Astyanax mexicanus: one gene and its partner. The protein of the gene in region 1 interacts with the protein of each later gene in a biochemical or structural test. Links are inferred from orthologs where the notes say so. Each region holds a gene or a part of one and is shown on either strand. Other genes may lie near its edges.

The links.
Region 2: the proteins of rps6kb1b (region 1) and pdk1 form a complex in vitro, tested with the Homo sapiens proteins (2 studies listed by BioGRID and IntAct, with this or other methods). The link is inferred for Astyanax mexicanus from reciprocal best matches to the Homo sapiens genes RPS6KB1 and PDK1.

Annotation. Positions count from the first base shown.
Region 1 is NC_064425.1:6,352,609-6,359,892, reverse strand, and holds the start of rps6kb1b (ribosomal protein S6 kinase beta-1), read left to right. Parts: upstream 1-4,262; 5' UTR 4,263-4,390; coding exon 4,391-4,459; intron 4,460-5,409; coding exon 5,410-5,453; intron 5,454-7,108; coding exon 7,109-7,229; intron 7,230-7,284. Other genes in the region: uncharacterized protein LOC125782590, read right to left, coding at 1-2,578. UniProt on the Homo sapiens protein: Serine/threonine-protein kinase that acts downstream of mTOR signaling in response to growth factors and nutrients to promote cell proliferation, cell growth and cell cycle progression.
Region 2 is NC_064418.1:31,059,885-31,067,089, forward strand, and holds the start of pdk1 (pyruvate dehydrogenase (acetyl-transferring) kinase isozyme 1, mitochondrial), read left to right. Parts: upstream 1-4,186; 5' UTR 4,187-4,821; coding exon 4,822-4,930; intron 4,931-5,050; coding exon 5,051-5,192; intron 5,193-5,293; coding exon 5,294-5,365; intron 5,366-6,096; coding exon 6,097-6,281; intron 6,282-6,405; coding exon 6,406-6,501; intron 6,502-6,628; coding exon 6,629-6,706; intron 6,707-6,816; coding exon 6,817-6,893; intron 6,894-7,205. UniProt on the Homo sapiens protein: Kinase that plays a key role in regulation of glucose and fatty acid metabolism and homeostasis via phosphorylation of the pyruvate dehydrogenase subunits PDHA1 and PDHA2.

The sequences.
Region 1 (7,284 bases):
CTTGCCAGAGTCGTTGGACATGCTTGAGGACCTCTTCCTGCGGTGGAGTGGCAGAGATGAACAGACACTCTGTGGTGTGCGGTGTCCGGCCCATGGGCTGGATAGGGCCTTGAAGAGTCCATCCCAGGCGAGTGTGAACTGCTGCTGGGCTACCCGGTGGGCCAAGTCGTACGTGTTCGACAGGGGTTATTAGGTGAGGCTGGTCAGAGCCGATCAGGAGACATGGCTTGGCTCCCTGGAAGGCAGGTAGGGGGATGCCACGCAGATGTCTGAACTTGCGTTGAAGGTGCTCAATAGGGTAAGTATATTGGGCTAAAGTGAGACGGCTTGCGGTGAAGGCACCATCTATCTGGTAACTGACCTGAGGTGTGGCAGCAGGAGAGACACGGAACGAAACCGTGTGCCCGTGGAGCACCTGGATATCCTGACGGACTGTGCGCAATGGTAGGACTTCAGGCGTTCCCCGTAATGCGAGGGATTTTGCTGCCAAGGGCAACAGCATTGTCCTCTCAGACCCATCATCGAGGATCGCAAAGGTATTGAAGGTCCTTCCACAGCAGTGAACAAGCACAGGGACAACTTTTAGCAGAGCACGGTTGCTTGCTCCAGGTCTATCAAGGTAGAGTGTGTCAGAGGCAGTACTGTTCACGGAGCCATCTTCCTTTGCTGACACGTTCCTCGGAGCCTTGTCAGTCCTCACATTTATTTCGTGGAGGGCGAGGAGATGCTTCCCTTGACAGACGTTGCAGGGTTTCTTAAGCGTGCACTGCGCTGCCTGGTGAGCTCGTGCGCAGCGCCAACAACGCTTGTTGGATTGGATCCACTCTCTTAGCTGATCCTTGGAGAGCTTAGCTACTCCAGTGCACTGACTGAGGTAGTGCTCTGTACTCTCGCAGTAGGCACAGTAGGCTTTGGGCTTTGGTTTCTTCTTCGCAGGTGACTGGGAAGCGGACTGTGGAACTTCACCAGCACCATGCAGGACTGATACTGTCTTCTTTGCCTGACGGCCCTCACTCTTTGTATTCTGTTTCTCCTTACTGTATTTCTCAGGGGCCAACTCATCGGTGCCTTGACACCATGATTCATGGCGGAGCCACTCTGACAAGTTGTGCAACGTGTGGACAGCTCTGGAATGCTTTAACTGATATCGGCGAAAGTTAGCTCGTAGTTCAGGAGGGAGCTTGCTGAGGAGGTTGGCTACATGTGAGCCACAGTGGAGTTCAATCTCCCCTTCAGGTCCTACGGTCTTCAGTAGGCCCACAAGTGACTGAATTTGGAGTGAGAACGCCTCAAAGGCGGGTATGTCACCGCGCTTAACTTCAGGGGCCCCCAGGACACTCCGAATTCTTCTAATGGCAAGCTGATGAGGTTGACCGAATTTATCGTATAAAGCAGACATTGTGTCAGAGTAAGGTGTCGGTGAGTTTAGGTAGGCATCAGCAATGAGCTTAGCTTCATCTAGCTTCAGGTGGTCTACAAGTATTTGGTACTTGAAGAGTTCTGTAGCGTTAGATGGGAGCAGGTTCCCCAGAGCTATACGTAGCCGAGCAAAGTCGCTAGGATCTGGGCGAGCAAACTTGGGGATAGTGGGTTTTGGACCCCTATAGTGCTCTTCAGGCACTGAGGAATGCAGAGGTAGGTAAGGTGTGGGCGCAGCAGGTCCCACTCTGTGGACTAATGGTGGAGGGTACGCTGAGCTAGGTGATGCAGGCCATGGTTGGGCATAGGCTGGAGTAGGATGAGCAAGTGGCTGTGAGAATGACACAGGAGGTTGAGGTTGGGGGTACTGTGCATGCGTGTAGTAGGCTGGTACCCCTCTACGAGCCACAGATATTGGAGGTGGGAGTTGAGGCTGCATCGGAGGTGGGAGCTTGTAAGGCGTGTACGAAGGTTGTAATGAGGCATAAGGGGGTTGGCTGTAGCCTGGCTTTGGTGCCTCAAGCTTTAAGTTGTACATGCCTTCATTCAGTTCCTCCTCAGGCTTGCACCACACTGGAGGGTCGGGCCACGCTTCCTCTTCCTCCTCCTCGTCATTAGGCTGTACAACAAGGAAACGACTTGTATCTGCAGCACTGGGTGGTGGAGGTTGGTATGTGTGGTAGTTCGATGCAGGGGCATTGGACTGCCCAATGTCTGTTCTCAGTAAGCGTGCCACCTCTATTAGCTCTTTAATCTCGCTTCGTGCCTTGTTGAGCTCTGCTATGCCTGACTCAACATGGTGCCTTGTTTGAAGCAGCTTAGCGTTCTCCTCTTGGATGGCTCTCAACTCTGTTGTGAAGTGGGAGGCTAGGTGTGAGCGTTGCAGGTGAGGGTATTCAGGTAGGAGGTCCTCACTGGTCAGATCTCTCCCTTGGGGGTAGCTGAGGGCTAGCTGAGGAATCTCGGTGTAAGCAGCATCCCTCTGGCGGCTACTGGGACGAGTATGTGAGGTTAGAGGACTTGAATGATTTGAATACATCCCTGCTGAGGGAGCTGTTGAGCCCATGTGATAGTCCACCTCATAATCATCAAGCCAGGGAGGTCGACGTATTTGCCGTTTGGGACGCACGTCAGGCATCATCTCTTCACCATACTCCATCTTGAATACTCCGATCCGGCTCGAAGGACCAATATTGGGAAGGCTATAGGGATATGAGGTTCGTTTAGGTGTTAGGAGTTATCCAAGATGGGGCATCGATTAGAATGCCAGGTAAGGGAATGATGAGGAGACGATGAGGTTTATTTTTAAAGGTGATGATAACATTTACTGAAGAAGCTCAGATCTGAATTCACATGTATTCACGTGTATTCACAGGTTCACATTCACATTTACTGGACATCCCCTTTAAGGTTTACATATACATCTACAGTCTGGAAAGGAAAAGAAAAGAAATAGCAATAAGAAATAAGGCACTATAAAATAAAAATAAAGGTCTGCATTTACTTTACATTACATAAAGTACATAAGTGCCACACTTCTTTTACAATGCAAACTTGAATCACTGGGAATTTCTAATAAAGAGAACAGCTCAGTCATAGAGCAGCTATTAAACAGTCTCTGAAGCCCCCTAGTGGCCAAATTAGGTAGTGCAACTAGAGCACGCACGTGACGTGTATTTCACGAGGACAAAGAAACTTTTACTCGAAATATTCTCACATAACATCGAGGCAGATAGTGCTAAAACACTTATAACTTGTAACTTAGAAACATGTAGGGATTATACTCTACACCTTAAGACATGTTAGGAAATGTAGGCTACACAATACATCCAGACAATATCCTGACTAGCTCAGCATATATACGGATAAAGGAGTAAACACAAACGGAGATACATGCAAAAAACACAACAGCATGACTTACGTTTCATCATTGACTGTGAGAAAATGTACTATGAAGACTTGAAGAACTAAGATTAACTTGGATGAAGGTCAGCTCCTAACTTTAACTCTGAGCCTACTAAATGTGGTCAGCTCTGTTTCTGGAACAGGTAAGTGAATCAGGCACAATTAAGATTTACCGGAGCTAGAACGTCACAATAAGAGTCCCGTCCTTTTATACAATATACATATTTAATGTAAGGAAAGTATACTATAAACAGTACGTTGATTCAACCTTCTTTTGCTATCTGGGCACATCACTGTTTCTACACTCATTTTTTTATATACAAAGGTATAATATATACAGTACCAGTCTAAGGTTTAAACACACTTTCTCATTCAATGCTATTCTTTATGTTTTTTGTTTAATTTGTTTTATACATTGTAGATTAATATTAAAGACATTAAAACAATTAAGGGACACATACGGAATTCAGCACCTCCAGGAACTCCTTCAAGATGCTGAGAAAATACCACGAGTGTGCAGATCTGCCCTTATAGCTAAATAAAATGTATAAAACCTATTCTGGTTTGTAACACTTCCAATTCTACATGTGCTCCTGTATAGCTTTAACGTATTCAATATTAAATTTGCAATGTAAAAAAAATATATATATATAAAATAATAAAAAGGTAACACATTGAATGAGATGAGATGTGTCCAAACTTCCTTAGACTGGTAACAGTTACTGTATGTACATATTATCAATTTATATATTGTATAATACATAAAGTATATGGTCTAAAAGACTTGGATGGTAAAACCTACTGAATAATTAAACTAATTTTCTTTTAGGTTTGGGGAACATGCGGATTAATTATTAGTTATTTATTATTTATTATTTTGCTCTATTGTTCTAAAAATCTGTATACTGGTGTATAATAGTAAAATAACGCCCCCTGTTGGGCTCGTTGTGCGCATGCTCGTGCCGTAGCCGGTCATGGCGACGGTGTGTTCATGTCCATGAGGCGGGAAGCGCAGCCTTCTCTCTCGGTCTCTCGGTTACGGTGGATCAGCGCAGCGAAATAAACGATGGCCGGGGTTTTCGACATCGATCTGGACCAGCCGGAGGAGAATGTCTCCGATGACGAGCTGGAGGAGGTGAGTAACTGCCGCTCCGCTGCTCCATACGCCCTGCTGGCAGGCCGCGCCGAGCCCTGGGCCTGGAGAGCCAACAACACACCAGCTAGCTTAGCTTAGCATAAGCTAGCATAGCATAGGTGTTGTGCTAGCTAGCTGCCTGTGTACTAATGCTAATTTCTGCAATATTAGACAAAATATTCCACCTATTCTTATGCAGGTGTGCAGATTAAATGTGCACCTTTTTAATCAATTCGTCCGCTTTGCAGTCATTTGTCGTTTTTTTTTCTAAAACTGTCTTTAAATGTTTTTAAATCCACGCTAGCTAACCAGCTATCTGGTTAAAGGGAAGCCCTGTAGTAGATAGCTTAGCTTAGCGTAGTTATCGTGTTGTGGCTTGCCTGCTGCCTGCCTGCTATGTGTGTGAACCAGATAACGATCGATTTTCGTGGTGAATACGTGCATTTCGTGGATTTCCTTGAATTTTAGGCTTTTAATTCCCTACCAGTTGTATTTTTACCGTAATATGCATTGTGCTGCATCTAGAATAAAGTGATATTGTCGGTTCATTATAACTAACCTAACTAGTGTAGCTTCTTAACTGAGCTACACAGTCCTGAAGTTGTCACATTTGACACACACGCTTGCTGAGCAGCCCTGTTCCTCCCATTGCTCCAGTATAGAGTTACTGTATAAGGCATGCTGGTTTCCAGTGACACCGTTAGTTAGCTAGGTTAGTTCAGGAGAAGCTGCAGTGTCGTGTAGCGTTAGTTAGATTAGTCGGATAAAGTGCTCTGTCTCTCCAGCAAACCCTCCTCCTCCTCCTCTTTCAGAAATAGCTAGCGCTAGCTGTCATCTCGCAGGGCTCCTAATGAAATATCAGCTCTCAAGTTTCCAGAAGAGCATACTGGGAATGCCGATCAGCTTTTTCCCAGTTTGACTGATGATCCTCCTGTTTTATTTCTGTATAGGCACAGATCAATGACTTTATGGATCAGTGCAGTGGCTTTGAGTTGTGAGTATCCTATGCTATTTTACATTTCAGTAAAGCTTTATTTTGCTATTTCTTCTGTCAGCTGTTTATATATAGCTTTGGAAAAAAAGAGACCACATAAAAATGAGAGTATAATCAAAAGGAAGATGGATGATCACAAGCCATCAAATCAAGCTGAACTGCTTGAATTTTTGCACCAGGAGTGAGTGGCATAAAGTTATCCAAAAGCAGTGTGTAAGACTGGTGGAGGAGAACATGCCAAGATGCATGGAAACTAAATATTGATTTCTGATCTGTTAAAACTTTATAAATATGTCTGAAAGTTCTCTCTCTTATTTCAGCCATTTTTCTTTTTCTGCAAAAATACTCTAAATGACAATATTTTTATTTGGAATTTGGAAAAAAAATGTTTTAGTGGTTTATAGAATAAAACAACAATGTTCATTTTACTCAAACATAAACCTATAAATAGCTAAATCAAATAAACTGATTCAGAAACTGAAGAGGTCTCTTAATTTGTTTCAGAGCTATATATAAGTTTTTGCACCTTTACAGATTTCTTTTGTTTTTGCTTTTTTGTCATACTGATATTTGCCCGATTATCAAACAAATTTTAATATCAGGCAAAGATATCCTGGGTAAATATAAAAAGCACTTTTATAAAAAGAACTTTTTAAAATGATAATTTTATTTGTTAAAGGGAAAAAAGTTTGCAAAGTTCAATTATATATTTAAATTGTAGTTTTTGTATTAGTTTTTTAACTTGAACAAGTAAGACAAAAATACATTCAGACTATTTCATTTATGTAGTACTGAACAAACATGCCAAAATAAATTAAAACTCATTAAAACTGTTAGACCTTTGGCTGAAAGTTTCATTTATTAAGCTTCGGACAAAAAAATAAAAATTGGTGCGTCAAATCTAGATACACATTAAAAATAACATAATAAAATGATATGCATTAGATTTAGTGAAGAGTTTAAAGACAATTACTGATCTGCTATTTCAGGAAACAGGAGAGATGCTAGAATCACAGTATTGTCATCAGGCAATTAAGCAATAATACACAAGAGGGAGTGCTGTAACGTGTAATATTGGCTTTGCAGGCTGAGTGCCGTAAATCAGCTCAGCAGTGCCAATATTACACGTTATAGCACAAACCTCGAGAGTATTATTGCGATTATACCACAGTTCCATGATCACTGTTTATTAAAAGATTTTGAATTAAAGAGGACGAGAAAATACGATTTGTAAAATAGTTCTATTGCTGCTCTGTTTGTAGCTGCTCTGTTTGGCTTGTAAGCGCTGCATTGTTGCTAGGTTACCTGTATGTGGTGGGGTAATACGTGAAGAGCTTCGGTTACTGTGCATTACCGGCTGATTACGGCACTCGTAGAACTCCTTTTAGCCAATCATGTTGCAGGGTCGGAACTAACTGTAATAAAATTGCTTTTATAAAATTACTTTTCAGTTATCTACTCCCTGTATATAATACTGTATAATGTACCATGCATTTTTGTTTTGTGTAGTTTGCTATAAAGGCAGAACAGGGGATTTAAAAATATCCATGGCTTTTGACACCAGCGTCTGCTTGCATTTCTATATTTGTGCATCTTTAGATTAAACACTGCTGTTTGCATTGCCTTTTCATTTGTTTCTTTTACTTTTTTCTCAGCAATATGGATGACTGTGAGAAGATCGAGATATCTGAAGACAGTGTAAACCAAGGCACAGAGAGCATACGCCCGGAGTGCTTTGAGCTATTGCGAGTTTTAGGCAAAGGTGGCTATGGAAAGGTAAAGTGCTCAATTATACCAACTTATATGTATTAGAATATATAGACAAATGTAT
Region 2 (7,205 bases), on another chromosome or scaffold:
AAGAAATATAATGAAAACACTAGACAGTGACAGGCATCTGAATATGCTGTCCTAAATTAAGATTAAATCAATAACAACACATTCTTCTTACTGTTACCATTATTATTTGATTATTACTATAGTTACCATGTATTTATTAATTATTGAATTTCATCCTGTTCAAGCTATTGAACACAACTCAGCAGAGATTTATAAAATTACCCAGACACGTCAGGCTGGCCAACATGTTCAGCTGTAATTTACTAAAAATGATTAACTGTTAATCAATTACTCAGAGGTAAAGCATGTATTAGAAAAACACCTTATAAAAAGGTGTATAAAAATATTTAATCTCTGAACAAAAAGATAGCTTCTTATTTTAGTTTTAAATAAATAAATGAAATGATTGTCTATCTAACAAACACTAGTTGATTACAATTGGTAAGTAAGGAACTCAAGATCTCTGTAATGCAGATTTAGAAACTCCCTTTTCAGGCAAAAAATTCACACTGTTCTCGTTTCCCCATTATATATCTAATAGAGACAGATTATATCTGTCCAGTATCATTCATTTTACTTTAATCTTAGATATATGGAGATATTTGGAGTGCATTATTAGTATCATGACATTATGAATTACTGACATCTGTTACAAATCTGATAAAATTCTTGGATCTTTTAATATCTCAGTTAGGGGTGTGCAGTGTCATATTGTACGCAATAATAAAGGTAACTTTCATTTTGTTGCAGAAGTGTATACTTGATTTGAATCACTCTAAGAAAGTGTTCTTTAATAAAGATGTTTTGCATATATGAGACCACATAAAAATGTTTTCTTTGATTTTACCAAATAAAAAAAACCCTGAAATATAATCAAGAGGAAGATGGATAATAACAAGCCATCAAACTGAACTGAATTCAAGCTGAACTGCTTGAATTTTTGCACCAGAAGTGGCATAAAGTTATCCAATAGCAGTGTGTAAGACTGGTGGAGGAGAACATGCCAAGATGCATGAAAACTGTGATTAAAAACCAGGTTATTCCACCTAAATTTTTAATGAATATGAACCTGTTTTCTTCGCATTATTCAAGGTCTAAAAGCTCAGCATTTTTTTGTTATTTCAGCCATTTCTCATTTTCTGCAAATAAATGCTCTAAATGACAACTTTTTTATTTGGAATTTGGGAGAAATGTTCTCTGTAGTTTATAGAATAAAACAACAATGTTCATTTTACTCAAACCTATACCTATAAAAAGCAAAATCAGAGAAACTGATTCAGAAACTGAAGTGGTCTTATAATTTTTCCAGAGCTCTGTGTGTATATATATATATATATATATATATATATATATATATATATATATATATATATATATATGTTCATGAGTTAAAGTGCTGGAATTGATTTACACGGATTTTGAAGGGTGTGTGCGGCATTTGTCACCATGGCTTTCTGGTGACAAATGCTGGTGACGGTTAGAACAACTGCACAGCACAAACACAAAGACTAAAAAGAAGCTTTAATATCGTAGCAGTGTAAAAGTCAACTGTTTCTTTATTTCTGTAGAGAATTTTTAACGTCTAATTTCAGCTGTGGAGCTACTGGGCTGCACCCAAACCGAGAGTCCAGCCCGGCTGCACTGCAGCATCTGAGAGCAGCTCAGCGCGGTCAGCTTTCAAATATACACCGCACAGCTCGGTCAGGCAGCCAGTCATGGCTAAAAAATCACTAAACTCATAACAATACAGCGTGTTCAGCTATCAGCAGAGTTCCCTCACTGACTACATGTCCAGCAGTAAACACACAGCTCTCATCCTGTAGCCGCGATGCTCAAACCTTCAACTACAGCTAAAGCAGAGCTAACTCACAGCCATTCCCCGAGACCAGCACTCACTAAACTATACTAAAAACCCTAAGATATCTAAACGCAGAAGCACATAAAGCGTGAGAATGTTAGAAAGTGTTGTTTTAAAAACTTTAAACCGGTTAAAAGACTCAAACCAACCCGTTAGTTCGTGTCTCTGCTGTGGCTTCTGAAACCGCTGTTGTTGGCACGAACCATTCACCCGTTTCCTGCTTCAGCGCGAGCGGTGGTGACGAATAACGGCGGCCGAGAAGCGTCAAACCGCGCTGCAGCAGAACACACCGACCACACACTGGACCTGTTTCCTTACAAACTTAACTTTATGCGTTTATAGCTTATATTTACACATCTCAGCTTAAACTCTGGGCTGTTCACTGTTTAAATACACCTTTAATGTTTACATACTTTAATATGTTTTCATTGTTTATATTTATTCTATAGTATAGTATAGACGGTATTATTCATAGTGACATTTATATTGCATTATATTATATATAAATGTATGGTTACTGTCAATAATTTAAATTCTATCTATCTATCTATCTATCTATCTATCTATCTATCTATCTATCTATCTATCTATCTATCTATCTATTACATTAGGGCAGTTTTTGCTAATAAATAACATTTTGCATATATGATTATTTTTAAGTACATTTAAAATGTTCCATAATATGTATGCATATGCATTCAATGTTTTTAATTACTCTATTAATATTCTAATATTAGTATTTTTATAATATAGCTGGTCACAGGGTAAATATAAAATTTGAAGATTGGTTTGAATTGTGAAGTCTTCGCTGGAAATCTTATCTACCCCAACCAAAGATTTTATTTGTCGAAATTAATATATTATTAAATGTATATTATAAAAAGCTGTGTCTGTGTATTTAAATGAGTTAAAATGACTTAAAAGAGGAATGAGATGTGTAGTTAATGCATGTATTTTTGTTTAAATAAAAAAAGGGATTTATGGGTAAGCTGTTCCGTTTCACGTTAGAGTATGTAGTTAGTAAGGAATTAACATACGCTTAATTGTGTGTTTATGGCGCCCTCTTGTGGTGAAGTTTGAAACATCACCGTGAGGAAATCTTCACAAACATTTTCTGCAAATAAATGCTCTAAATGACAATATTTTTATTTGGAATTTGGGAGAAATGTTTTGCGTAGTTTATAGAATAAAACCACAGTGTTATTTATTTATTTATTTGTTTATTTTTACAATTTTACTCAAACATATACCTATTTTGCTAAAGAGCATAATACAAAGTATTTCATCATGACAGCACTTATTTATAAATAAAAAATATGCATATATTTTGCATCCAAAATAAAGTATTATGAAATGAAGTATTATGTTGTTCGTATTGTAATATTAAACCTTGCACTATATATGTATATAATAGTGGGGAAAATAATCCACCTTATTGTTTTACCACCAGAGGGCGCTCCACAGTAGGTTAAAAATAAATGTGTTCATTCGGAGCAATTAGGCATAATCTGATTTTTTAAATGTTTAATCTTTTTTTACTGAATTAAAAATAATTTCCTCAACACAGAACTAAAACATATGCCCAACAACATATTTATTAAACCTTTTAACCTTTAAACATTAATGTACTTTCAAAAATGTCAAAATTCGGGAAAAGTATATTCTTACTCTTTTAAAAATGTTTATTTAATCATTAACCCCATTCATTTTGGACTCACTCGTGGGCTCCCTCTAGCGGTTATCTGGGATTTTCTGATATAAAGAGGAGATAATCTTCATAACCCGGCTCTAGTTTTACTAAACTTTTACTGAAGCACGACTATGCACTGTTATAAGTTGTATAAATTATATACTTAATAAGGGTGGGTTTTTTTCCAGAAAATTTCAGTCTATAAACCTTACCTACAATATCAAAATATATCAGAATATATTGAAAAGCGTATTGCAATAAATATCGCATAGTCAGGTTCTTACAGATAAACAGCACTAATTTACAGAACACCCTTACAGTCTGAGATGTCTTTTAGAGTCAGAGAAGGAAGGGACATTTTCTGAAAGCTCTGCATCTTTTTTGTTCAACCATTTCCCATTTCTGCAAATAAATGCTCTAAATGACAATATTTTTATTTGGAATTTGGGAGGAATGTTGTCCGTAGTTTATAGAATAAAACAACAATGTTAATTTTACTCAAACATATACCTATAAATCAGAGCAAAATCGGAGAAACTGATTCGGAAACTTAAGTGGTCTCTTTTTCTTCCCCCATATATTTGCTAGTTTATGTAAAGTTATATTCAGGCATCTTATCAGCCGTACTGCATGATGACGCACGGAGACAGCGCGGGGCTTTGCGCCGCTCAGTGGCGGAAGAGTGGAGTGTCACTCAGGCGAGTTTAGCTTGTGGTCTGGCCGTTACTGGAAGTGTGTTTCTCCTCGTTTCTGGAATCATACAGCGTTTAATGGGTGAAGATAAACAGCACACGCGCATATCTCGTGGTAGGAGGTTCTCTCCAGAGCGTTCAGCTGAAAGAGAAAGTGAAGCAGCAGCGCGGCGGTATGAGTGACGGACAGTGTAGCTGGATCAGCACAGTCTGTTTACAAGTACTGCAGTGAAGAATCCGGCGTTCTGACAGTGAAACTACTTAGCTAGGTTACCTAGGCTAACCTACATAGGAACAGAGCTTAGATTCAGCCAGCCTGTGGAGAGACACATACTCAACCTAGCTAGTTAGCTGGCTACCCAGGAAAGCTAGTGACTCGCTAGTTAGTTAACCTAGATAACTAGTCAGTTGGCTAGCCCTACTATCTAACTGTTTAATCACTGTTTAATCACTAATTATCTAGTTAGCTTTACAGTAGCTAGATAGAGTCATATAGAATAATTTCTCTGTAAAAACAAGACGTTTAGCTGCATAGTTAGCTATCTTATTAGATCTTAAATCAGAATTTCCCCCCGATTGATGGCTGACACCTGCCTAACATCATGCGGATTTTAAGGACTCTAATGAACAATGCTTCCATTGGCAAGCTGGTGGATCAGTATTCCAGATTTTCCCCCTCTCCTCTGTCTATGAAACAGTTCTTAGATTTTGGTAAGTTTCTAGCTATTATATGAGCACTAAAATCAGCAGAGTTTGGTTGGGTTTGGTTTGGTTTTTAACCAAACCTAAATATTGTTGTTTGTCATTGTATGTCTTAATTTTCCTCCCCAGGTTCAGATAATGCCTGTGAAAAAACCTCATTCACGTTCCTGAGGCAGGAACTGCCAGTCAGGCTTGCAAACATTATGAAAGAGATTAACTTACTGCCTGATAACCTACTGAGGACGCCTTCAGTGCGCTTAGTGCAAAGCTGGTGAGTGTAACTAACTACTATACACTGGACTGGACCGTAAACTAGAACTGTTTAATCACTGCTCAGTTACTCATTGCTTTTTGTTTGCCATATCTCACCAGGTACATGCAAAGTCTCAAGGATATCCTTGAGTTCAAGGACAGAGATGCCAATGATGAAAAAGTGACTTTTGAGTAAGTATATAAACATCTATTCTATAAACATCTGGGTAGATTCTATTTAGCAATGTTTGTGTTTTTATGCATCTTAACGTGTCACTATGGCTATGTTCACATTACCCAGGCTGAAGTGATCTGATTTTTTCATGGCTGTGTGAACAATCCAAATCCTTTTTTTTTTTAATCAGATTTAAGTCACACATATATGCGGTCCTAAATCAGATACATGTCCGATTCATGGACATGCGGCATGAATGTGAACGGTCAAATCGGAATTCATGCGTCTTCTTGCTTTAACGCATGCGCTATGTGCTTCCAGTACCCACACATCTCTTGGTGCAGCTGTAGCTGCAAAAACAGCAAAAGCAAACCGTCCGGCCTTTTTTCTCCTCCTCGACCTGAGCGTGAACTTCAGACCAGTTGTTTGCTGTTTCTCCATTCAAGCAAAAGATGCTCCACATATGAGCTGCTAACGCATCCATTTCACCTTTATAAAGCTACGAGTCGTCTCTCAAATATGATGTTTTTTTGGTTGTTGGAAAGAAGGCGACGTACATGTATACTATACACGTATCAATGAACGCATGTGAAGCGATTCAGCGACAAAATTCGTTTACATTACACACAGATACAGGTCACTTACATTTGTGAATGTGAACCATCAAGATCTGAGCAAAAAATTGTATTTGAGCAATGTTGCTTGTAATGTGAACGTAGCCTAAGTTGCTGCTGCTGCTGCTCTTTAGTTTCACGGATGCAGTGATAAAGATCCGCAACCGACATAATGATGTGGTGCCCACCATGGCTCAGGGAGTGGTGGAGTATAAGGAGGCGTATGGTACTGACCCAATAACCAGCCAGAATATGCAATACTTTTTGGACCGCTTCTACATGAGCAGAATCTCCATCAGAATGCTCCTCAACCAGCACAGTGAGATCCTGTTATTGTCTTAATTCGACCTGTTATTGTCTTAGACATGTTCTTCCTCTTATTTTTCTTCTTATTGTATGAATAACACATTTATAAACATACTTTTTTTTCATATCCATTGCAGCTCTTCTGTTTGGAGGACGTGTACGCGTGAACCCAGCTCATCCAAAACAAATAGGAGGTATTGATCCTCACTGTTGTGTCACTGATGTGGTTAAAGGTAAGAAATCTGAGCTGTCAGATTATATGTCAAGCTGATGTCATTATCAAGGCTTGGTTTGGCTGTTCTTGTCACTGAAATGGAAGGACAGTAAGTGATACTAAGTGTTTATTTGTTGCTGTTGCAGATGCGTATGAAAATGCTAGATCATTATGTGACAGATACTACATGAACTCACCAGAATTACAACTGGAAGAATTTAATGGTAATCACAAAATCATTTTCATTTACTTCATGTATTTATGATACTTAAAAATGTAGAGAAATAAATGTAGTTTTCTGTTGTTTTTTTTTTGTTTGTTTTGTTCTCTGCAGTTAAAGAACCTAATAAGCCCATAACTGTGGTTTATGTGCCATCCCATTTGTATCACATGGTCTTTGAATTATTTAAGGTACTGTGTACCATTTCTTTCCTTACACCTTGTCCGTATAAAACACAAAATACCAGTATACATAATTAAGGACTGACTCTGCTGTGGAACTTTTCCATTGTTTGGTACCTACACATTTTAGTTCTACTCCTGGACTGCTCCTGGGTTTTTGGTTTTACTCCCACCCCTTACTTTCAATACAAGGTTTACAAGTTACTTTTTAGCATACTAAAAAGAGTACTTGGTGACAGATAACAGGCAGCATATTTGCCCAGTAGAAAAGCAAAGCCAAGTAGGGTCGAGTCCAGTAGTAGTATAGGTACCATAGGGTGA